5 linked regions of the Canis lupus familiaris genome follow. The protein of the gene in region 3 purifies or fractionates together with the protein of the main gene of each other region. This does not show direct contact. Links are inferred from orthologs where the notes say so. Each region holds a gene or a part of one and is shown on either strand. Other genes may lie near its edges.

Region 1 (5,009 bases), on a different chromosome or scaffold from region 3:
AGGGCACAGTGAGAGCAAGAGGCTGAACAAGAGAGAAAGAGAGAGAGAGAACAAGAGCGCATGGAAACACATGGCCAAAAGGAGCCACAGATGTACCAGGCTGTCAGTCCAACACGTATGTACGCGCACACACACAGCGCATGGCACAAACCCCCACACGTGTACAGACAACATGCCGAGAGCCCTGAACAGGGCCAGCCTCACGCTGTCTTACACACACACACACACACACACACACAGACACACACACACACAACCTGCCCAATTTAGCTCCCCCTACACAAGGGCCAACTGGACCAGACCTCACCCAGGTGTCTGTCTCTCTTGCTCTCACACTCTCTCTCTCACATATACACATGCACACCCTCCCCATCTGCTCCAGACCCGCAAGTAACTGCGCTCCGGCCTCAGGCCTCGGCGGGCTGCTTCCTCTACCTTCATTCACATCTCCCCACCTCCCCCGAGCCTGTGCTGTAATCCCAGCTGCTCTAGAGGCTTCCCCGACTGACCACCCCTTGCAGAACCCCAAGCTGGCTCTACTTTGCCTTTTCTACAAAGCATCACTGCTTTGTCCACTTCTCCCAGACCAGGAGAATGCTGTCAGTGAGCGTCAGCCACACAACGAGGGGCCCTTGGTCCGTTCTGTTCGCTGCTGTGTCCCTAGAGCAGGGCAGTACATGTTGGCTGTACGGTTGAAACAAATCAACAGGCACAGCCCGATGGCCTAGCCCAACTTTCCCTCTCTCTCTCTCATACGCTCACTCACACGTGCGACCTCTCACAGGCGGCAGACTCCTGGTCAGTAAAGGAGCCCACTTCCTCTTCCAGGGAGTCCAAACCTGAGCCCGCCAGGAAGGGAGGAGTGGAAGGTGAGCGGACACAGAATTGGCCAAGTGGGCCAAACACTGTTGATCACTGATTGTGTGGAAGGAGAAAAGAGTGACAGGCGCACACACGCACACACAGCATGGGGGGTGGGGGGGAGGGCATTCTGCGGCGGGGCAGCGGTTAGGTCAATGGTGCAGATGTCCAAGCGACGATGATAAAAAGGCTGGTACCTGCTCGTTGGGACGGGGCAGGAGCAGGGCTTAGAGTGATCACAATAACTGGATGGGGAAAAGGAAGAAAAAAAACAACACCACGATAAATCACAACAGAAACAACTGATTTGTCCAAAAGAAAAGAAATCAAATCATAACGAGGAAGAGGGGGAGGCGCGAGGCACCAAACTGCAGAGACGGGTAGAAACCGACAGAAATGGGAGGACCGGGAGGATGAGATGGAGCTGACACAGACACAGACACCTGAAGGGGGCTCCTCAGGGGCCTGCCCGCCGTGGGCCTCACCATACCTCACTCTGGGACAGCCACCCTGTAAGGCACCCCTGGCCCCAGACCCAGCCCTGTCTCTTCCATGCTGGGGCCAGGGGAGGCAGCACTGCAGAGCCCAGCAGGGACCCTCCAGTCCTGGGAGGCCTTTCTGCCCCAGGGAGGAACCCACACCACCCCAAATCAGAAGAGAGAGAGATGGGGAGTGAAGCGCACCCAGGGACTGGGGGGCAGTCAGGCCGTGAAGATCAGGCTGGGTGAGCGGGGAGTGACTGCAATACTCTGACATGGGGGTGTGTTCCCCCTCCTACCAGGATGACCCCACAGGGAGCTACATAAGCTACAGGGATCATATCAGAAGTACAAAGGAGGGCAATTTGCCAGCTCAAGAGAGAGACACAAAGTGCGTGATGAGGTGCTACCCATCAGGTCTGTGGGGAGGGTGAAGACCCGATGCCCTCCAGCTGAGAGATTTGGGGAGGGGGGTTCAGTGGGACATAACAAAGAAACTAGACAGTGGTCCAGTGGTCGTGGCAATCCCAGGTCAGGTGTGATTGTTGGGTGGGGGAGGGCAGGAGGAGGCAGCTTTTGATTCCAGGCAACAAGATGCAGGGAGATACACAGAGATAGTGGGATCAGATACGAGGTGTGTGTGGGCTGGGAGGTCTAGATATCACCACCTTGGCTTCAGGTATCCCTAGGCCAGGTGAGTGTGGGCGTGCAGGAAAGAGGAAGTCACTCGAGTCCAGTGGGCGAAAGTTGCCAAGCTGAGAGTTCGGTGTGTATTTTTTGAGAAGCTAGACAGTCACCAAGATGGTGGCAGTGAAACGGGTCAGAGAAGTATGAAGGGGCCTGGTGTATGTGGGTAGGGTGTGCGTGGGAGGGGGGGCCCCCCAGGCCCAATTACAAGGTCCCCGCCCGGGGGAAAAAGGGATTACCAGACACAGTCACAGGAAAGGGGGTCAGAGGAATAGGGAGTTACAGTGATCAAATGACCTCAGGTGTCACCTGGGCCAAGTGTGCTTGTGTGTGAGTGTGAGCGCATCCCCCACTAAACCATATGACAGGGACCCAGGTGCCGAAGGGGAAAGGGGCCTCCTGCCAGTCACTGAGATGGCAGGAGTGAAGTCGTCCGGTCGGAAGAGACGTGTCCGTGTTTGCGACGAACCTGGATGTGGTCACAGTCGCATGCATTGGAGGGAGCGCGGCTCCGGCTCTGGGTAGGTGACGGTGACATAGGCTCTGAGGATCCCGCGGAGGGGGCGGGCCGTCAGGTGGGGGGCCTTGCCGGGTAACTAGGCTCGTAGGCCCCGTGAGGGGGAACCCCTACGTTGGGGGCAGAGCCGCCCGGGAGCCCGCGGCCCCACGCCCCCCGGGTCACCGTGACCCTCTCCGCGCGAGCCGACAGCAGGGGGTATGGGGTGGGGAGGAGGAGGAGCCAGAGCGCCCCGGAAGCGGGGGCGGGGCCTGACGGCGGGGGCGGGGCCTCCCGCGGCGCGCGCCCCGCCCCGCCCGCCCCCTCCCCCACGCTGCCGTGCTTACTGGGCCTGGGCCGCTGGGGGCTGATATCCAGGTTGAGGTCGATCCTCCGCCGGGCCTCGCGGTTCTCCTGCTTCAGCTTTGCTTCCAGGCGGGACAGCTTCTGCTCCAGGGAGGACGCCGCCATCTTCCCCGCCGCCGCCGCGCACCGCCCGGCCGCCCGTCAGTCCGGCAGACAAACACCGCACTGCGCTTGCGCCTGGATGACCCCGCCGAGCCGCCGTCTCTCCCCGCACGGCGCATGCCCGCGGCGCGCACTCGCCCATCCCTCGTGCTAACGTCCGCGCATGCGTGCCTCTTCCCAGCTGGAGGGATGACGCCACCTAGAGCTCGCGTCTGGCAACGAGCAACGCCTCTCCTGGTGGTGCGCATGCGCGGACTGCGTGTGGCAATCCATTCACACTGTTGGGCCGAGAGCGGCGGGCGGGGAGAGCGGCGCGCCTGCGTGCAGAGGCGCGGACGCGATCCCGCGCGCGGCCTTTACTGCGCCTGCGCAACCTTGGCTCGCTTCTCTGCCCCTGTTGCTGGGAGTAGCTCTTGCAGCGTGTCCTCCCCAGCTTCGTTCTCGCTCTTCCCCTCCCGGCCTGTTTTCTGGCACCCACGCTCTCCCAGCACTGCCTTTCTCGTCTGGGACAGTGCTTCATTAGGATCCCTGTTAGGCTTAATTGCTGTCTCTTCACCATAATTAGGCGCCCGTGGGGAGCCCTTTCTATTTCAGCAAACTCGGGGTTGGCCAAGGGCTGGCGGGAGGGGCAGGGTAGGGCTCGGTCACTGGAGGGGCCCCAGGACCAGGGGCATGACCCCTGATCTCCGGACAGGGTGAGGGGCAGGGCCAGAAGAGTTCCAGGTCAGCCCCCTCAAATGGGGTATTTTAGGACTTTCATCTTCCCAACCCCGGAATGTGAGCCCAGCTCCTGGACAGTGCGGAAGATGGGCCTGGATGTTAGGGCGCCTCAGCCTGGTCTCCTCGCGGCTCAACTGGTCTGTGGGCGCCCGGGAAAATGCCCCCATCTGGGATCCTGGATTTCGGAAAGCAGCTTGCGTCTGCTCTCAGTTGCGAGGAAGAGGCTCGCATTTTTTCAGACTCCTTGAGGTGTCCAGGCCCGGGAGGTCCAGGTCAGGCAGGCTGTGCCCTATGCCCTTCCTGCTCCTGGTCCAGCACGGGAACACTGGCGGGCGCGGAAGGCTTGTGGGGACTCCCGTGGTGACAATTTGCGGGTGGAACAGATGCGAGAGTGTGGAGTCCGGAGAATAATAAGGAATGGAGAAGAAAGAGAGTTCTCCAAAAAATAGCTACGCAGATGATGCCTGATAAGCCGAGGTCTCTCCTGCCTCTGCTTCCAGGACAGAAACTCATACCCTTGATTCCGCCATGTGAGTGTCATTGCTTGCCTGTTATTGGTCTGGCGAAATGGAAGGCTTAGACAAACAGGAGTGGATACCAGAGATCGGAAGTTTAGTTCTCATAATTCAGATTATTTATTAAGCACCCACTGGTAGATGCTCTCTCACACAGGAAACACTGGAAAGACAAAATCCCTGCCTCTGCTCAGAAAAATTTAACCTCCTCGGCAGGCATTCTTAACACTGGAGTCTGCCATCCTTAGGATGTCCGTGAATGGCCCTCTGGGAAATCTGGGGGAATTTGCTGACTGCCTAAAGTTGCTTGCGGAACTTTGCATGTATGTGTACCTGAGCATTTTCCTGGGAAAGGAAACACCCAGCTTTTCTCAGATGTTCAAAAGGTGTAGGACTTAGAAAGGGTTCAGAATCCCTGCTCTGGACTTGCAGATTCTGTAGGTCCGCAATTCCCAACACACAGGTCTAGGACCACCTGCATCAGAATTACCTGGGATGTGTATTTGCAGGCAGGTTCCTGGCCTCCAGCCAGACCTGAGTCAGTCTTTCAGGGGTGGGGCCCAGGATGTTTTGTTTTGGGGATGTTGATTTTGATGCATAGCCAAACACGAGAACCATTTTTCTGATTTTGCGTGTCCATAGCAAACAACTTATAAATAAGGATTTGGCATCAAAGTTGGGGGCAAGGGTCACTCATTAGTCCCTTGTGTCTGTGTCCCCTCCTTGGGAGAGAACACCAGCTATAAGGTGTTTTGAGGGGTGGGGGAAAGGGCTGAAATCCCA
Region 2 (4,404 bases), on a different chromosome or scaffold from region 3:
ATTTTAATTTTGCAGTTTCTGTTTTCTTTCCCTCGAGGAAAGAATGAAATGTAATTAGGGATTGATCAGGGATTGTCTGTGAATTTCCTACATGGGGACCTTTATGCCACTTGCTTGTCTGTTCGCCATTTCCAACCAAAAATGAGGCTTCGAATAAAAAGTGAAACCAGAATCATAAAATATTTGGCTCCTTGTTAAAATTTCTTTAAAGGTTTGATGGGTGAGGATGCTGGTTAAAACTGGCGGTGGATTTTAATGATCCCTGCTGTCCTTTTCTCCCATCAAGGACAATCAAGGACTTATAAAAAGTATGAGCTTTGCAACACAACTACTTTAGGCTGAACTACTCTCAGCATCTAGGGCAATTACAGTGTGAGAATCCCTAGGAACTTACTGTAAACAAACAAGCAAGTGTTCAACAACCTTTTTTTGCACTTGGCACCATGACTTAACATTACTATTTTCTTCCATTTTCCTATTTGAGATTTTTATGAAGTGATTACATGTGATAACAATTAAATTTCCCTTTAAGTATGTAATATAGAGCAAAAACACATTCATGACTTGAAATAAAAGCTGAAATCTATAGTGCTAAATCCTAATGGAAAGGTCAAGCATTAGCATCCACACTTGAATATCTCATGCTCTGAGATAATCAGAAAAGTCTCTGAACACTGACTAGGTCCCTTTTGGTGGAGTGACACACATATATCAACAAGCAGCAATGCTATGAAAGAGTTCTACTTTTCCTTAGTCTATAGTTATTTTCTGTGCCAATTTTATTTTACTATTAATGTGTTGAGACCAGTATCACTTTCAGCTAGGCAATCAAATTATTTGGGAATGATAGCCCTTCTTTTTTTTTTTTTTTAAAGTAATGGTAGACATCTACTTACTGGAAACTTTCTAACAATAGATTTTGAGGAAGCTAAAAAGGACACAGTTTAGTACAAACTGTCTTTTACCTTTATTGCTTGTATACACAGGAATACATTATAAAACTCAGTGGGAGGAGGAAAAAAATAACAGAAGAAAAAGTTACCTGCTTTAGCATTTTTAAGAATAGTTTTGATAACTTCTTAGATCAACTTGCTTATCTGAAACAGAGCAAAACTACAATACAATCATGATATAATTCTAATAATCACAGCAATTATGCTTTCATTTTTAATTTTCTCTTCATAAAACATTAATGCTATAAAAATGAGGTTGATGACATCATTGTTTAAAAGACACCTTGTACTGGTACCAAAATGTGATTTATTTTAATACCAACTGAAAAAATAGAGCTTATATAGTCTATTATTTCAATGAAGTTCTTTAATTACTTTTATTTTCAAAGTTGGTAGCAAAGTTATTGTTAACAATATAAATTTTCTCTTTATAAGTGTCGAAATTCCCTTAAAACTGTTGAAAGGCAGCAGGCATTCTAGGATGGGCTTGCAAGGAAAATCAATTATTCCAATGTTGATAAATAGTATACTTGATGAATTTTATATTGACTTCTTTAGTTTCCTTACTAACTTCTCCTGATTTGCCAGGTTTTTTACCCCTTTTGGTTTCATAAAAGGAATCTAAGCCCAAGCCTTTTGGCTGGAGCAATTATTTCCATTTTCCACTATTTCTCTTTATTTTTTCAAATATACACTAAAACAATCCAATAATCATTGCAGGAAGGAATGATCATTTAAGATGGATCGTGTTCATTTACCTTTTAATTTCATTTAAGAGATATTAATACTAGAGTCATAAAATCTTTACAGTTTCAACACACATACACGCAATCACAAATTAAAAATCTTTGTATCTTAAAAAAAAGGGTTCCATTTTGTTCAATGTATCATAGTCAAATTTTAGTCCAATGAAATATGGTTTTATTACATACAGCAGCCGCCACTTACCTTTAAATATTTTATGGGTGGAACTAAGCTCAGCATTGACTGCAGGATGCTGGCGTCAGAGCCCTTACCTGCAACTGTCCCTAAAGATTCTGCATTTCTATAATGTACCACCAATTATTCTAGATTTATAATACCCTGTCTTCAACTTGGCATATACCATCTTTTGGAAAAAAAATTGTTTTCTGAGATGAGATACAAGAACAAAATCATTCTTGAGGTTCCACCTCAAAAAAAAGACGATGTTTGCACATAGCAGCTAGTTTGATAACCCCTGTTTTTGTTAGGCTAGCCTTCACACAATGAGCATGCATGTACAGCCATGGTTCACTGCATCTGTTTTGAAGTTGAGAACTGCTGCTTATTCAAGTCACAGATGCCCCCATGTTATGTAAGGAGACAGTTGAATTGTATGTCCACCATGAAAAGAAGAAAATAAACGATGAAACAAAATGCAGCAAATATAGGCAGTTGGCATTCAGAACACGCCCAAAGCTAACACTCATGAATTGTCATTATAAGGGCTTTTCTTTCCTTAAAAAAAAAAAAAAAAAGAAGTCTGTCTTTGCATATTTTAAAATTTAAAGGTCCCAGAGAATCATGAAGTGCCTTGTCGTTTTTGCTGCTGACTTCTGATGACCTCTAGTTGTTTCTTGCATTGCTGGTAGTAAGTGGAAAGGCTTTTGTTTTCATCTAAAAGCTTTTTATGTTCCTGTACCAGACGAGATGTATTTTGCTGGTCCTTTTCATCCTGGTCCAGTTCTGCAACTAGTTCTTGCCTAAAAACAAATACCACATAATAAAATATTGTACATCTTGTACATGATAAAAAATCCATACTTAGTAACTGATGAGCTTGGCTTGTTAGGGCTTTCTGTATTGACTGTTACACATTTTAGGTACACTACTCAAATATAATTGTAGGCTAGAATGGAAACTATTACCCACTCTTCTGGTGTACCCACACGAACACCACACCACGATCCTTTTGTAAGTAACTGCACTTAGATAATTAATGAACGCAGATAAAATGGCATAACAAAAGTTTCAAAACATTTTACTTGGTATCCCCTTTGTGTAAGAAGAAGAAAAAAGGCTGGGGAAGGGCTCTAGGCACAGGAAAATAACATGTTTTATCATTCACATTCCACTTTTACACTCGTGAACTTTTATTTATGTTTGAAGTTACATCTTATTTAACTACAGTACAAAGTGGGGGCTCATAAAACATTGGCAAGCTAATTAAAATAGATGCTATCAACTTAAATCTATTTCCTACTTTAAAAGTGAGAACAATACAAAGTACCAATTTCGAATGAGTTACTTTTACAAACATTTTCAGGAAGACCATTAGAGACTTTTACAGCCTGATAAACTTTTTAAAGACCCCTTTATTTGGGAGATGTTCAATTTTAACTCCTAAAGTGAAGTTATAAGTGATTAATTAATGATATAAATGAATAATTAATGAAGAGCCTCCAGATGATTTTCTTGTAGTATTTCTCAAAGTATTTAAATAAAATTGATTAAAATTGTCATAGTTTTCGCATTCCCTCAATCTATCATTTCTTTTTCCAGCACAGAACCAACTCCTCGTTCAAATGAATAAAAAAGGAAAAAAGTATAGACTAAATATGTAAAGTAAGAGGTTTTTTTTAAAAAACATAAAGTGTCAACAGTTCTACAATTAGCTCCACAATTTGCAGACTCAAATATTTATTTCCTATAGAGCCTTTAAGGTAGAGTTGCAATCATTTAACAATAAGTTGTGATAGAGCTATTTTTTCTTTTTTTTTTGAAGTACAAACGGAAACTTTCCACAAATTACTTCAGAAAGCAAGAAATTTTCACTTATTTAGATTAAAATCAATAGAGGGAATCCTATTACCATGCCATGATTTTTTCCTATAGCACTTCATTTCAGTTCCCTCTAAAATGAGGATCCATGCAGAAACTTAAGTTTTTGTTTTTTTTTTTTTAAGAATTTCAAATAAAGGAGCATGAAAATTGATTTTCTTAAAAAAGGGAGGAGAGGAAGGCAAACTCAATAACTCTCAGAAAAACATATGCGTGAGTATAAAACACCTTATAAAAACACTCATGGGTATAAAATAAAGTAATCCTACTCTCCTAAATATATACCTGGAAAGACTATATCAATAAAACATTTCTAAGATAAAGTACAGTTGAACATTAGTAAATCAAATTATTTTACCTATGTCTAAGGAAACAATAAATCATTGTAACTATAAATCTAACCAGCTTCTGGTTTCAAAATTCTTAGAACATGAAACACCAGTTTATTTTCCTTAGTTTTAATATAATACATACAGCCAATGGGTTGAGTTTTACATGAAAAACAGCCGAAAGTTCCTTCAAACTTAAAAGATGAACACATATAAAACCTCCAAATTGGAAATACAGTTGACCCTACAATGAGATGAGTCTCAACTAAATGGATCCACTTATACATGGATTTTTGTTCAGTACTGTAAATGTATTTTCT
Region 3 (4,954 bases):
CCTACCCAGCTCAGTGTATGCGTTGGGTACGTTTCTAAAGTCTCTTTTCTGGAGTTTTCCTTACAATGAACAGGTATCACTTGAGTTTTAAATTCGCTTGTCTAATTTTGGAAGTTACAGAAGTGACCTATGCTCCTTGCAGAAGTAAGATGTCAAATGATCATAGAAGTGCGTAAAATAAGTGAAATCCCTCCCCCGATACCACATCTGGAGGTAACTGCAGGTAACTGGATGGAGCATTTCTACAATCAGAAGGGGGAGCAAAGAAGGAACACCTGTCTATTTAAACCAACCAGCAGCAAACAAATGCTCCCTCTCCGGCTTCCACGTCCACCCCGTGCTTACTCCCTGCACACCACCCCCCGCTATTCCAGAGCTCCCCCTTTTCAGGGTGGCCCTGAAGCCAGACTGCCTGCATTCAGACCCCACCTCTGCCACCCTAGCCTCTGTCTGCCTCCGTTTCTTCATCTGCAAAGTGGGGATAATAGTAACGCTCTGTTTATACAGCCCTGGTGAGGATGCTCTTGCGTAGAAAGCCCTTGGGAGGGTGCTGGGCAAAGTGAGCGCCTCCCCGGGGCCAGCGTCCCCCCCACCCCCTTATCCTCTGACAACACGCACTGTTATGCTCTGAGCTCCAGGAGGACAGCGCACAACTGATCCTTCATAATAACCCAGTACAGCATTACTGAGCGCCTACTCTGTGCCGGGCACTGGGCAGGCCGAAGTCTAGGGACTGCCTCCTATGCCTTCTGGAAGCTGACAGCAGTGCTGGGGGCACACACACAGTAACAACCACAGCCCTGCGTGAACGCAGCTCTCCGCAGCCCTTGAAACACTCAACACGTGTCCCATCCAAGTCCCAGGACCGTCCTGAGCAGGAGCCAACAGTCTTGGGGCACACAGCTAAGGAGGCTGAGCCAGCCTGCACACCCAGGCCAGTCGGATCCATGACCACGAGAGAGCGGCAACACCCAGGGTTATCCCGAGCTGGGTGAGGGGCCAGGCGAGGCAGGACAAGGGAAAGGTCAGCGGGGGCTGCTGGAGCAGGCAGGGCAGGCCACGTGGGGCCGGAGACACTGCCCTTATTATTTCCAGAAGCTGCCCTTGTCCCCACGGCCAGGCCATGGTGTCCTGGAGGGCTGGCCCACGCCTTGGCCGTGGCGCACTGCTGTTCTCACCCACCTGGCCCAGAGTGCATACTCACTGGCTGGCGTCCACCTCATCAGTCCCTCTCACTAAAGCATCCAGGATAACCTGCCTGCCAGGGGAGGGCACTGTCACCTGGGGGTCTGGAAGCAGGTGGAGGGAGGCAAAGCTGTCCTCCGGGCCACAGACAGGGCCTGGCGACCGAGTGGACTGAACACCCAGAGACGGCCCGAGGCTCTGACTTCTGCGGGGTCCTCAGGCAAACCACTGCCTGCTGAACCTCGATCTTGTCATCTATAAAATGGGCAGACCGACCCCCACGGCCATGAGGGTAAACGAGCCTGCCCCTGGGAAAGCTCCGAGCAGTGATGAGCTATATAAATGCTCACCAGCATGGAGGGCAGACACTTGTTGAGCACCGACTTGATGCACACGAAGGAATCAATATTAGCTCACCTGTCAGATGGGACTGTCAGGTCGCTCAGCTAGCAAGTGGTGGAGCTCGAATTTGAACCCAGGTCCCTCTCAGCTGTTCCACTGCAGAGGGGCCTCCCAGCAGGAAGGCAATATTTGCCTCTTGGCAGCTTGGCCAGGGGAAACTGGTCTCAGACCTCAGCCTCATTATTCAAGAGGCACCAATCACAAAGGCCCCGGCCCTGGAGCCCTCACACTTGGCCTCCTCCATCTGGTCCCCTCCCTCTGGTCTTCCCAGCTTCTCAGCTCAGGGCCTCAAGGGAAGTTTCTACTGCTGCTGATGCCATTAGAGATCCTCAGGGGTTCCTACCCACCTGAGGGCCAGGGAGCCAGCAACCCCTTGGTCAGAGAGGGGCTGGCGCCAGAGCCCAGCTGGGGCCCGGCTGGGGTGGGGGGCCCAGGAGAGGGGAAGGCGCCGGCTCATTAGATGGAGAAACAATGGGGTACGTCTAGGCCTCCTCCTAGGCTCTGGAGCAGTTACACTGTCTTCTTCCTCCTCTCCAAATGGGGCCAGGATTATGGTGGAGGGATATCCATCCCTTGCCCACAACACCCACTGCCCACTTCCCTAAAATCCACCTCCCAATTGCCTAATAGCAGATAACCGGCAGAGAGGGGGGAGAAAGGGAGCTCAGACCACGGTCCTGGGGACCTGCTCCAGCAGGGAAACCTTCCACCCAGTGTCCTTGGCTACTCCTGGGCTGTCCAAACCAGACTCCCTCAACCAAAGCTGGGCGTAGTGTCTCCTGAATGGGTCGGAGCCTTCCGTGCCTGCACACACCTGACCAGGTCAGTGCTTGCCCACCCAAGTCCACAGGGGTCCTGACCATGCCAGTCCTGGGAGTTAGGCCCCTCTGACCAGACAGGGCTGGGGGAGGGGCCCACGACTTCCTCCTTCCGGCACCAAGGTTGTCAGTTGCCCCAAGAAACTGGGAGCCACGAGGCACCCCATCCCCGCACCCATGTCTATTCAGAATCCTGTGGACTGGGCAGAAGCAGAGCATTAGCCTGCCTGCCTCCTCCGCTGTCTCAATCCGGACCCCAGGCCCTGCCGCAGTCCCAAAGTGGGGGAGAAGGCGGCCTCTGCGCCCCCCCCTCCAGTTCCCTCTAGAATCTCCTAGCCTGGGGCATGGAATGGCGGAGGGAGCCGCACCGTTGGCTCTGCAGCGGCTATCCGGCGGGACGGGGGGCTGAGGGGGTTTCTGGGGACCCTGCCCAGGGAGGAGACCCCCTCCCCGCGCAGCCCCTGCGTTCCCCAGGTCGGTGTGTGCGTGTTGGGGGCGGGGGGCGGCGGGCGGCGGGGGCCGGCGCAGATTACCCGGGCCGAAGGGCGGGGCGCGGCGGCCGGGGACTCTCACCTGAAATTGGGCGGCGACGCGATGTGCAGCCCCAGGAACGGGGAGGCGGCAGGCGGGGACGCGGCCCCCCCGCCCAGGCCGCCGCTCTCTCGCTCCGCCATTCCCCGGCACAGCCCTGGCCATCCGGGCGGAGCGCGGCGCAGAGGCGGCGGCGGCGAAGGCGGCGGCGGCGGAGGGGACGGAGGCGGGCGCGCGGAGAGGCCGCCGCCGCCGCGGGGCTCGGGCTGGGGCGGGCGCGGCGGGCGCACCTGCGCAGGGCAGGGCGCGGCTCCGGACCGCGCGCCGCTCCCGGGACTGGCGCGAGCGCCGCCGCGCGTCCCCGGGCCCTCGCCGGGGTCTCGTGCGCCCCGCCCCGGCCCCGCCCCGGCCCCGCCCCGGCCCCGCCCCGGCCCCGCCCCGGCGCTCTCCGAGGTGCTGAAGCGGCGGCCCCCGCGGCCCCCGCGCCCACGCGGATCCCTCCGCCCTCCTCCCCCTCCCGCAAAGCCCTCGCGCGGTGCGGGCTCTGCGCCCTCGGGGGGGCCTGGCGCCCGGGCATGAGGGAGCTAATGGCGGGACCCGGTCCCCTGGGCCCTAGTGGCCCCCAGCAGCAGACAAAGAAGGCGGGCAGGACCGGAGGGCCATGGAGGAAGGAGGAGGAAGGCGACATGGTGTCGGCGTGGGCTCCCAGGGCAAGCCGGGGTTGGAGTCAGGTGGTGTGAAGTCACAGCCTGGCTTCCCAAGTGAATAGGTGGTGTGGCCTTGCATTAGTGACTTCACGGATCCTAAGTTTTCTCATCTGTGAAATGAGGACAGTAATGGTCCCTCTCGTGGTTGTGAGGATGAAAAGTAATACAAATATGTTGTCACCGGCGGCAGGGAATACCCCACCTCTGCCTAGAACCCAGGTCTCACCCAGTCCTGTCCCCTTGAGGAGACCCTCTCATGGACTCTCCCTAGAAGATTTTCTCTCTAAAGATTGACCCAGTTATTAATGGGGAACTGAACCTTTCTCTAGGCTTCTCTGTTTCTCCTCCCTCACACCAGGACTTTCCCAGATTTCTCTCAATTGCATTTCCTGCAGAGAACTTCTCATTTGCACCCACAGACACCCCATAGCTGGTTTCCCACATTCTAAGAGTAGGAGCCACTTTTCCTCCTGCTGCCATGGTTGACTTCTTGGGATTCTTCTTATGGTTTTTCTGTTCCTTCCAGCACCTCTACCCCTGCTAGTTTGGGGCCACAGTTCCTTTCTGGTCTCTCCCCTACGAGGGCTAAGCCTGTGAGTTCTTTTACAGAACACAGACTGCTGGACACTCAAACTGCTGGCAAGGCTAGGGCCCCAGCTTTGGTGGGTCAAGAGCCTCTGACCAAACCTCATTGGTCTCTCTGGCCTCCTGAGAACTGCGGAGGCTCTGTCCTTACTTCTTTCCGAAGAAGGGGCAAACTGTTTCACAGCTTGTGGGATCCTATTTGCAAATCTGGACTGCCTACTGGTCACACCACTCCCTTTTCCTTCAATGTAGCACCCAGAAAGGAGCTGCAGTCACGTGCCCTGCAGGAAACAACTCCCCACCTCCAGCCCCAAGAACATCCCATTACCTACTGCCAAAGGCTCTTCTCCCTGCCTGTGGGCCCAGAGGAGTGGCCACTTTACCTTTCTTGCTATCTTGGCTCAGCCTCCTTTCACTAGGACCAAACAGTAGCCACCTTCTGCTCAGATGCCTGGCTTTTGCTTCCAGGAAGTGGTCTTGGCCTAGAGGTTAATAATTGTTGCTTAAGAGTGTGTGCTTGCCTCAGCTGGGAGCATCTTCAGGTCAGGAGTGTGTGTGTAAGACAACTTCATTCTCCAGAATCTTCTGCTGGAGAACAAAGCTATTGTAGCTCCTGAGGCCAAGCCAAAGTCACATTAGAGAGAAGCCAGGAGAAGGGAGGGGGGACGGGCAGGTCCAGGTCTTGGTGGGAAGGAGCTTCAAAGCAGATCTAAGAATGAAATGAAT
Region 4 (4,099 bases), on a different chromosome or scaffold from region 3:
TACGGCCGGGCGGTGGACTGGTGGGGGCTGGGCGTGGTCATGTACGAGATGCTGTGCGGCCGCCTGCCCTTCTACAACCAGGACCACGAGAAGCTCTTCGAGCTCATCCTCATGGAGGAGCTGCGCTTCCCGCGCACGCTCAGCCCTGAGGCCAAGTCCCTGCTCTCAGGGCTGCTCAAAAAGGACCCCAAGCAGAGGTGAGCCCGCGGCCCTGAGCCAGCAGGGGGCTGGTGGGCCACCCCACCCCCGTGCCCGTGCCCCCCAGGGACAGCGGGCCAGCCTCCGGGCCACGCTGGTGGCTGATGTGTGACGTCCTCGGCCAGGGCCGATGGGGACCTCGCAGCCTCTCACACCTGCTCAGGAAGACCCTGCCCTGCCGGCAGCACCTGCCTCCCCGACGTCCTCCTCGTGCAGGAGCCTGGCCCATGGCCTGGTGTTGTCCACTGCCCCCAGGGAGGCAGTGCCATCCCCCGCCCCAGGACCATCACCCTCAAACCGGCTCCCCTCTCCCGTGCCCCCCAGCCCCAGGCTGTGCCCCCTGCACCGTCCTCCCTGCTGCCCCGAGACCCCAGCAGGAGGAGGGCCCGGTGAGGGGCCCGAGCCCTGAGCCAGGCATGGCAGCCCCTGACGTGTCCCTCCGCAGGCTCGGAGGGGGCTCAGAGGACGCCAAGGAGATCATGCAGCACCGCTTCTTCGCTAGCATCGTGTGGCAGGACGTGTACGAGAAGAAGGTGTGTGGGTGGCCTGGCGCATCTCCCCCCTTCCCACCCCTTCTCCAGGCTTACAGGGTCTGCACTGCGGGATTTCCTCCCAAGCCCCGAACAGGGTCCTCCCGCAGGGTCCTCCCTCGGTCCAACCCCCAGAGGGAGTGTGGGGGCGTGGACTCCCCGAACCCGGCGCCCTGTCAGCTTTGGGCCTCAGGCTTCCCCGTCCCTGAGGCTGCCCGTGAAGCCTGGCAGTGGAGCGGGGGCCCTAACCCTGCCCTCCCACTCTCTCCACTTGTCCATAGTCCGTCCTGCCGCCCTGAGCACGTGGGATCGGGGCACAGCACCCGCTTGCCTAGCGCATGCAGGAGGCCTCCCAGGAGCGAGGCAGCTGCCGCTTGCCCCCATTCCTCTGTCCTTTGCCCTCTGAGGGACTTGAGGGGCGCAGTGGCCCAGCAGGTCAGGAAGCCTGGACCAGGGCGTGCTGCACACCTGTCACCAAATAGACTCCCACCTGGTTTCCATTCTCCCCTCCCCTGCAGGCCGCACACACCGGGTGGGCCTCCGCCCTGTCTGCGAGACGGGGCGCCCCCACCCTGCTCAGCTCCCAGCCACTACCCTGCCCTGAGGTCTGCCACCACCGGGCTCTGCCCTCCGACAGCCCAGCTGCTGCCCAACCTTGACCCCTGCTAGCTCACGAGGGGCAGCCCTGGAGTACTGCAGGGCAGTGCTTGCTTGGGGGGCCCTCCCACGGGCACGTCCCCTACAGTTCCCCCCGCAACCTCCGCGGCCTAACTCAGCCAGCTGCGCTGTTGTCCTGGAGCCACCAATGAGGCCAGCCAGGCCGTGCACTCAGGACTGTCCCTTCCCCGTTGTGCCAGGCGAGGCCCCAGAGAGCTCATGCAGAGGAAGGCCTGGCCTCCTCTCCTGGTGGGAGGTTGGGCAGGGAGGGCCCTGGGAGCCCTGTGTGGATCTGGGGCATGTCACGTGCACCTCATACCCCAGCACTGGCTGCTTCTTGGGTCCCCCTGAGGCACTGCATGGGAATACTACTCACTGGCCCTGGTGGGGGGTCCGGGGGCCGTGGGGATGGGCCTGGCCCTTTATCATGAATGATCAGAGTGGAAGCCCCTGGCAGCTGGGCCAGTGGCTCTCTGGTCAGGAAGGGGTGTGCACGGCACCCAAGGATGGGGCTGGGAGCCCATCCTGGCCTGTGGAGTCCCTCTTCATCTCCTTCCTACCTCGTCAGAGAACCAGAAAGTCATGAAAGCTAGAAAAGAGAACGGACTTGTGGCCTTCTGCGCGGGGGCCTGGGCCTGCAGAGCCAGCCAGCTGCGGGGCCAGCTGTGGGGTGGCCGGGAGCCTGGCCCGGTGGGCCCTAGTGGCGGGGCCGCGTGTGCAGGGCCCGGGCCGCCCCCTCTGTGCGTCTCCGTGCCAGAGCCCCGTTCCCGGGGGTTCCTGGAGGGGGAGAGCTCAGGCCCCAGGGGCAGGGCAGAGTTCAGCCCCTAACCTGCCGCCCCTAACTGCCCCCCACAGCTCAGTCCGCCCTTCAAGCCTCAGGTCACGTCGGAGACAGACACCAGGTATTTTGATGAGGAGTTCACGGCCCAGATGATCACCATCACGCCGCCCGACCAAGGTGAGGAGGGCAGCCCGCCCAGCTCCCTGGCGGGAGGGCCTGCGAGGCCGGCCTTCGGGCACGGCAGCCGTGCTCCGGGGTCTGAGCGCACCTCCCGCCCACCGGCTGCAGGTGACAACATGGAGGGGGAGGACAGCGAGCGGAGGCCCCACTTCCCGCAGTTCTCCTACTCGGCCAGCGGCACGGCGTGACGAAGGCCGGCTGGCTGCGCCGCGCTGCCCACCGCGCCGCCCACCGCGCCGCCCACCGCGCCGGCCCCGGGTCGGGGAGGAAGCCTGGCAGGACCGTTAGGATTTCGTGTTTAGTTCTGGATGCACTGGGAGGAGCCGCGCCCTGCTCCGGGGATGGGAAGACCGGCGGCCCCGAGGAAGGGGTCCTGCGCGCTTCTCTAATTTATTTCATCCGGGTCTCCAGACACGGCCTTGGCCTTCAGAACGATTAGCCTCACATAGGAAAAGGCTGAGGACCTCGCGCAGCCACGCGCCTGCGGCCCCCGTCCCTCCCGCCGGCTGTCCTGGCCCAGCCTGGCCGTGGCACGCTGGCCTGGTCCCCTCCCGGGGCAGGCCAGGCCGGGCTCGCCCGAGAGGCAGAGGAACGACGTTGCAATCCGTTGCTGTGTATCATGCTATTCACGTGCATCTTGGGGTTTTGTTAATCTTAGTGACAAGAAAGCCCCTCCCTCCCCCCCTTTTGTCCCTTTGGGGCCATCCCACTTCGGTGGTGTCCCAGGTATCACGTGTCCTCCGGAGCAGCTTCACTGGCCCGCCGTGCGCCCAGTGCCCTTCGGAGGGGCCTTCGGAGCACCCTCCGCGCCTCGCGGCCCGACGTTGTGCTGCACGGGGGCGCTTTTTACATTCAACTTTACTATTTTTACTATTATGAAACTTTCCCTCCGAATTCTTCAATAAACACTGCTTTTCAACTTTGTGGCTGGTTTTGGTGGGTGGCGGGTAAAGAGTGAGGCGGCCGGTGCATCGGGGGGGCGCCCCCAGATCAGCCTACCCTCTGAGGGAAGACGGCCCTCCGTGGCAGGGCTCACGCAGCGGGGACATGCCCCGGCAGTCCACACGCCCAGCCGTGTCACCCCCGTACAGTCCAGGAGGCCTGGGGGAGGCCACGCAGCAGGTCTGGGACTGCCAGGTAGAGGGGTGCAGGTGGCCCAGATGCGGCCCAGGAACCCAGTGGGACGCGCTGCAGGCGCCACCTGGTGGATGCCCGGTGGTCGCTTGCTCAGAGCAGAGCCAACTGTCCACCAAGTGCCTGCGAGCCTTGGCTTCCTCGCCCGGGGACGCACCCCTGCAGGTGTGGCCGGGACGCCCGGACGTTTATAGGTCCTGGTGCATAGGCCTGGAGGTGGGGGTGAGGGCCCCTCCGTCTCTGGACTCCAAGGTGATCCCAGGTGGGGTGGCTGCCCCTCCTGCTGGAGGGAGCGCCGCATGGGGGGCACATCTGGCGTAGCCCCCAGTCACAGGAGTACACAGCTTTTTTAGAACCACAAACACACAAACGTTACATAGTATAGGGAGCTTTAGAGGTAAGAGAAACGGGCATCCCATCTGAACCCCGCGCACCGTCGCTGCGATGTGAAGTGGTGCGGCCGCTGGGAGCAAACTACGGCGGTTCCTCAAGACATTAGACACAATTAAGGTCGTTGCACTTTAGGTACACTTCACACCGTGAAGAGGAAAGGCAAAAGTCCATTATCGGAAATAATAGGAAATCCAGTGAGATGCTTCCATTGGCCTCAAGCTTGGAG
Region 5 (4,216 bases), on a different chromosome or scaffold from region 3:
AAAAAAAAAAAAAAAAAATCTACAGGCCAGCCCTAAAATGAGCCCACCCCTATGCCAGTTATCTCGCTTACAGCCAGAGATCACCCATGCTGGTGCTGCTAAGGGAAAATGCGCCTGAACACTGAGCTCGGAAGTGGAACTCGCCCAGCAAGTGCCTCTGGGAAAGGATAAATAAACTTGTGCTTTTCAGCAAGTTTCTTAAGCCTCTCTGAGGGGGTGGCTTAACCAAGGTGTTATAGGCAAAGCACATGGCACCTTGCCAGGTACACGATGGAGGCTTAGTAAACCGTGTTATTACACTCATACATCAGCATCTGCATAAAGGAAGACAATGCTATCACCACAGCAGAAGCATGTCCACCCCTAAAGTACACTGAGCGACAGCCCCAGAGCAAAGGTCCCAGAAGCAGGCCAGGTCTTGGACAACCCCTGGCCTCTTTGTATTCGGGAGTCCTCTGAAATCTAGAACTTGCTATCCTTACTGAGGCCATTCTGGAACGACAGAAGATCCAAGGAAGCGGACTCCCTGCCTTTACACACGAGTCTTTCCGAAACAGATGCTTACCGCTTCAGCTTCAGCAGGGTCATACCAAACAGTAATGTAAGGGTGACGTAAAGCTTCATCTACAGAGATCCGCTTGTCAGGATCTATCACTAACATTTTTGACAACAAATCTCTGGCTTGACTCGCTAGGATGAAAACAAATATCAGATTAATTAATAAATTAATGCTGAAACATAGAAAATCACAGAGAAAATGTGACAGTACAGATAGAACAAAGATGTATTAAAACTTGACATTTTTGATAGGTTCTGGATCAGCTGAGGCTTTTTCTTTAAGAATAAGCCAAGGAGGCACTTTCACTACAAATCTGGTCTTCCAACTCAGGTTTCTTGCCTCTGGAACTGGGAGGGGAGGAGTGGCAGGGCCTGGGAAAAGGGTACCAGGTGGACACAGGCCAGCCAGAGGCTGACATGGTGCCCGGGGAATGCTGCCACCAGGGCAGGCAGGGGAGCTGAGATAAGGATGGCGCTGCCTGGAGTGCAGGCACAGAGCATGAGCAAGGCTTTTCTCTTGATGGCCCATCAAAACAAAATTAGAACAGGCTTTTTAAGCCATAAAACAATCTCACATTTGCACACCATAGAATACTTTACAGATACCTCCGCTATGACCACAGCTATATATAATGTTGGAAACAGACACTTAAAAAAAAATCTAGAGGTTAGTTGCTAGAAAAAAACCAACAAGCTCAGTAACTTAGTCAAATGTAAGGCTCACATAGGTTTAGGCAATTAAAGTTCACATGGGTAGGCAAAGGAGAGACAGAGCTTTTCTGACCGAGGCAGTTTACCCTGATGTGGAGAGAAATTTATTCTTTTAAATCATGTTTTTGGTGACGGGCACAGGAGAAAGGGAGAAGCAGCTTTTTTTTTTTTTTTTTTTAAAGATTTTATTTATTTATTCATGAAAGACACAGAGAAAGAGGCAAAGAAGTAGGTAGAGGGAGAAGCAGGCTCCCTGTGGGGAGGCCAATCTGGGACTTGATCCCAGGATCACAACCTGACCAAAGGCAGATGGTCAACCACTGAGCCACTGAGGCACCCACTTTTTTTTTTTTAATCAATTATGGGCTAGAATCTTAATTCAAGTGTTCCATGGACCTGAAAACTGTGTGAATTCCAATTGCTATAATTAACATGAGTTTTTCAGACTGACGTGAACCTTTTTGTTTTGACCAAAGGTTTCCATGAGGCCATTCTGTTGAGGACAGAACTTTTAGGTCTAGAAGCCTTCAGGCTCACCTGTACCTCACTCAATTTGAGGGCTTCCACTATTTTATCTCCCCACGTCCAGGGGTGTCAGGCTGCAGAAACAGGTATGAGGGAAAATGAAGGGCATCTTACTTTTAATTTTGTCTCGTTCGGATTCTGATGGGAATATCCAATCTGGGAAGAGCTCTTCAAATTTGATTCCAGGGTATTTCGGTCTGTTTTCTACATAATTCCTCACGGTTGGCTGGAGTTTCTTCATAAAATTCGCAGACGGCGTTCCCAGCTGCTCAATGACTTTATTCCACTGATCAATATCTAAGAAGTCTCTTGAGGAAAATATAACTGAAGGACCTTACGGTTGCATTACACAGAGTAGCATCATTCACAGAAACGCTAAAATCCTCTTTCTACCTGCCAACAGGTGATTAACGAGGCTACCCCACTGGGGCAGCACAGGTATTCTGAAATAATATTGAAATACAGTGTGGGTTTCTGAGACTACTTTTAAAACCTCTGCACCTTTCTAAACTCTGATCACAGTTTATTAGACCAACACCTCGAGGGATGTATGCCATGCCCTTCTAGATCAACATAGTTATTCTTATTACTAAAGACTACCTGTGACAGAAGTGATTAAAGGTGAAATTAGGTAAAGATGACTTAGGCAAACCAAAATCAATTTTCACACCAAGGTGTCTTAAATTTGAAAGCTCCCTGAAGTAGACAGAGTAGAGTCCTGGGTTCACGCCTGGAGAAGCAAAGGCCCGGTGCAGTGCATGAGCTGGGGCTTGGGGCTCTTGGAGCCCAAGCCTTGTCCTCTCCAACAGGGCCGTGAGCCACCCTGGAGCTGCACTTAGATGGACAACTTTGCAGGTCATTCTCTGATTGTCATTGCAGGACCCAGAGCGCATCTGACTTCCTTTCAAAATACATGCCCTGGGTTTCAGACTCCACCACACTTGCCGCACAGCAGGTGCCAGGCCCCCAGTCTTCCCTGGCTCTTCATCTGACTTGTTCATAAAATGTGAGAATACAAGCGTGGCCTATTTTCCAGAGGTGGGGCTTGGCATAATAACTGGCATCATGAACTGGAAAGGAATTCTGAGACTGTAAACAATTATACAAAAGGATGTAGGAAAAAGAAATCATGGAAATAGCAATGTTTAAAAAGCAGTTTTCAAAAGTTAAAAAAGAAAATCTGATTGAGGTCTGTCTCAGAAAAACAGTCACATCACTGTGAAGGAACACAGGACGAGAACAGGCTCTCAAGATGGGTTCTGGCCTCTGGAGTAACGCATGTTCTCCTGCTTCACTGAACAGGCTCACGAGATGGGTTCTGGCCTCTGGAGTAACTAGCATGTTCTCCTGTCTCACTCCCTCATTTCCTGCGTGCAGCTGTAGCAGACTCCTGCAGCCCTCCAGCCCTTCTCGCCACCCTCCCTTCCCCTGGGTTATCCAAAACAGTCCCTCATCTCCTGCTTCTATTCTTGCTGGGACAGTCGACCGGACTTCCATGCAGCAGCTGCCATGACCTCTTCGAACCTGAGTCAGATGGGAGCCTAGAAGTGGGTAGGCGCTCAATGTCTAGTGTGTTCACGATAAAGGGTCATTTCTGTAGACTGACTCAGGGCAGGTGGGAAAGGAAAAGTCAAACCCAACAAGGCTGGCTGGTCTTCCGGCTGTGTGCATGCATTATTGTCCCTTGGTGGCTATGGGCCTCTGGTTATACTGAGCAGGAGCAAGGCTTGGGGAGGCCCCGACTCACGAAGGTTGTTGCATGGCGCCCCATGTGCTGGAGGAGGGCTGGCTGCAGCTCCCTCCCTCTGCTGGGCTATTGTGGCCACAGGAGGTCCCCCTCTATCCCAGGTCATGCATCTGAAGCAAATCTCAGAGAACTGCAATCTTGGTGCCAGAATCTTTTTCCATCCTAGCAGTTTTTAATCTACTGTTTGAAAGAGTGGGCAAAATTGCCTTTGCAAAATGATGTTAATCTCTGTGTGTATTTTGAGAATGACATTAGATGGCCTTATATATAAAACTATCAATTACCAATACTGCAAGATGCTAATATGTAAGGAAGGATTTTAAATTGCTTAAAAATCCACCAAAAAGTATCCAGTTTTTGTACTTTCTGAAGAAAACATTTCTTAATTAATTCAAAAAAAAAAGAAAGACACAAAATGACTATGAATTGAGACTGAACATTAGGTAGATATTTCTAAATTATTTCTCTTTAGAATATATCAACTTCTTCCTTTTAAGCTGAGTCTGTTTCCAAAGAAAGACCTCCTTATTTACAGTTTAGAACAAGCGAATCAAAGCAAAGATTATGGAAAACTGCTAGGAAATTTATTAGAACAAATAAAATGCTGTATTCAACTTCACATAAAATCTGTGATATGAAAAACATCAAGGAAGGCAAATAAAATGATAGGAACAA

Evidence for each region.
Region 1: the proteins of MAPK8IP1 (region 3) and MAP2K7 purify together in Homo sapiens (affinity purification with western blotting; 3 studies listed by BioGRID and IntAct, with this or other methods). This does not show direct contact. The link is inferred for Canis lupus familiaris from reciprocal best matches to the Homo sapiens genes MAPK8IP1 and MAP2K7.
Region 2: the proteins of MAPK8IP1 (region 3) and MAP3K7 purify together in Homo sapiens (pull-down; 3 studies listed by BioGRID and IntAct, with this or other methods). This does not show direct contact. The link is inferred for Canis lupus familiaris from reciprocal best matches to the Homo sapiens genes MAPK8IP1 and MAP3K7.
Region 4: the proteins of MAPK8IP1 (region 3) and AKT1 purify together in Homo sapiens (affinity purification with western blotting; 3 studies listed by BioGRID). This does not show direct contact. The link is inferred for Canis lupus familiaris from reciprocal best matches to the Homo sapiens genes MAPK8IP1 and AKT1.
Region 5: the proteins of MAPK8IP1 (region 3) and MAPK9 purify together in Homo sapiens (affinity purification with western blotting; 4 studies listed by BioGRID and IntAct, counting the BioPlex papers as one, with this or other methods). This does not show direct contact. The link is inferred for Canis lupus familiaris from reciprocal best matches to the Homo sapiens genes MAPK8IP1 and MAPK9.

Annotation. Positions count from the first base shown.
Region 1 is NC_049241.1:52,999,982-53,004,990, reverse strand, and holds the start of MAP2K7 (dual specificity mitogen-activated protein kinase kinase 7), read right to left. Parts: upstream 3,088-5,009; 5' UTR 2,995-3,087; coding exon 2,871-2,994; intron 1,107-2,870; coding exon of another isoform or gene 1,059-1,106; intron 1-1,058. UniProt on the Homo sapiens protein: Dual specificity protein kinase which acts as an essential component of the MAP kinase signal transduction pathway. Essential component of the stress-activated protein kinase/c-Jun N-terminal kinase (SAP/JNK) signaling pathway.
Region 2 is NC_049233.1:49,886,839-49,891,242, forward strand, and holds the end of MAP3K7 (mitogen-activated protein kinase kinase kinase 7), read right to left. Parts: intron 2,678-4,404; coding exon 2,497-2,677; 3' UTR 824-2,496; downstream 1-823. UniProt on the Homo sapiens protein: Serine/threonine kinase which acts as an essential component of the MAP kinase signal transduction pathway. Plays an important role in the cascades of cellular responses evoked by changes in the environment.
Region 3 is NC_049239.1:43,957,983-43,962,936, forward strand, and holds the start of MAPK8IP1 (C-Jun-amino-terminal kinase-interacting protein 1), read right to left. Parts: upstream 3,130-4,954; 5' UTR 3,080-3,129; coding exon 2,979-3,079; intron 1-2,978. UniProt on the Homo sapiens protein: The JNK-interacting protein (JIP) group of scaffold proteins selectively mediates JNK signaling by aggregating specific components of the MAPK cascade to form a functional JNK signaling module. Required for JNK activation in response to excitotoxic stress.
Region 4 is NC_049229.1:72,717,004-72,721,102, reverse strand, and holds the end of AKT1 (RAC-alpha serine/threonine-protein kinase), read left to right. Parts: coding exon 1-197; intron 198-643; coding exon 644-731; intron 732-2,240; coding exon 2,241-2,343; intron 2,344-2,454; coding exon 2,455-2,534; 3' UTR 2,535-3,269; downstream 3,270-4,099. UniProt on the Homo sapiens protein: AKT1 is one of 3 closely related serine/threonine-protein kinases (AKT1, AKT2 and AKT3) called the AKT kinase, and which regulate many processes including metabolism, proliferation, cell survival, growth and angiogenesis.
Region 5 is NC_049232.1:1,732,359-1,736,574, reverse strand, and holds part of MAPK9 (mitogen-activated protein kinase 9), read right to left. Parts: intron 2,092-4,216; coding exon 1,909-2,091; intron 691-1,908; coding exon 566-690; intron 1-565. UniProt on the Homo sapiens protein: Serine/threonine-protein kinase involved in various processes such as cell proliferation, differentiation, migration, transformation and programmed cell death.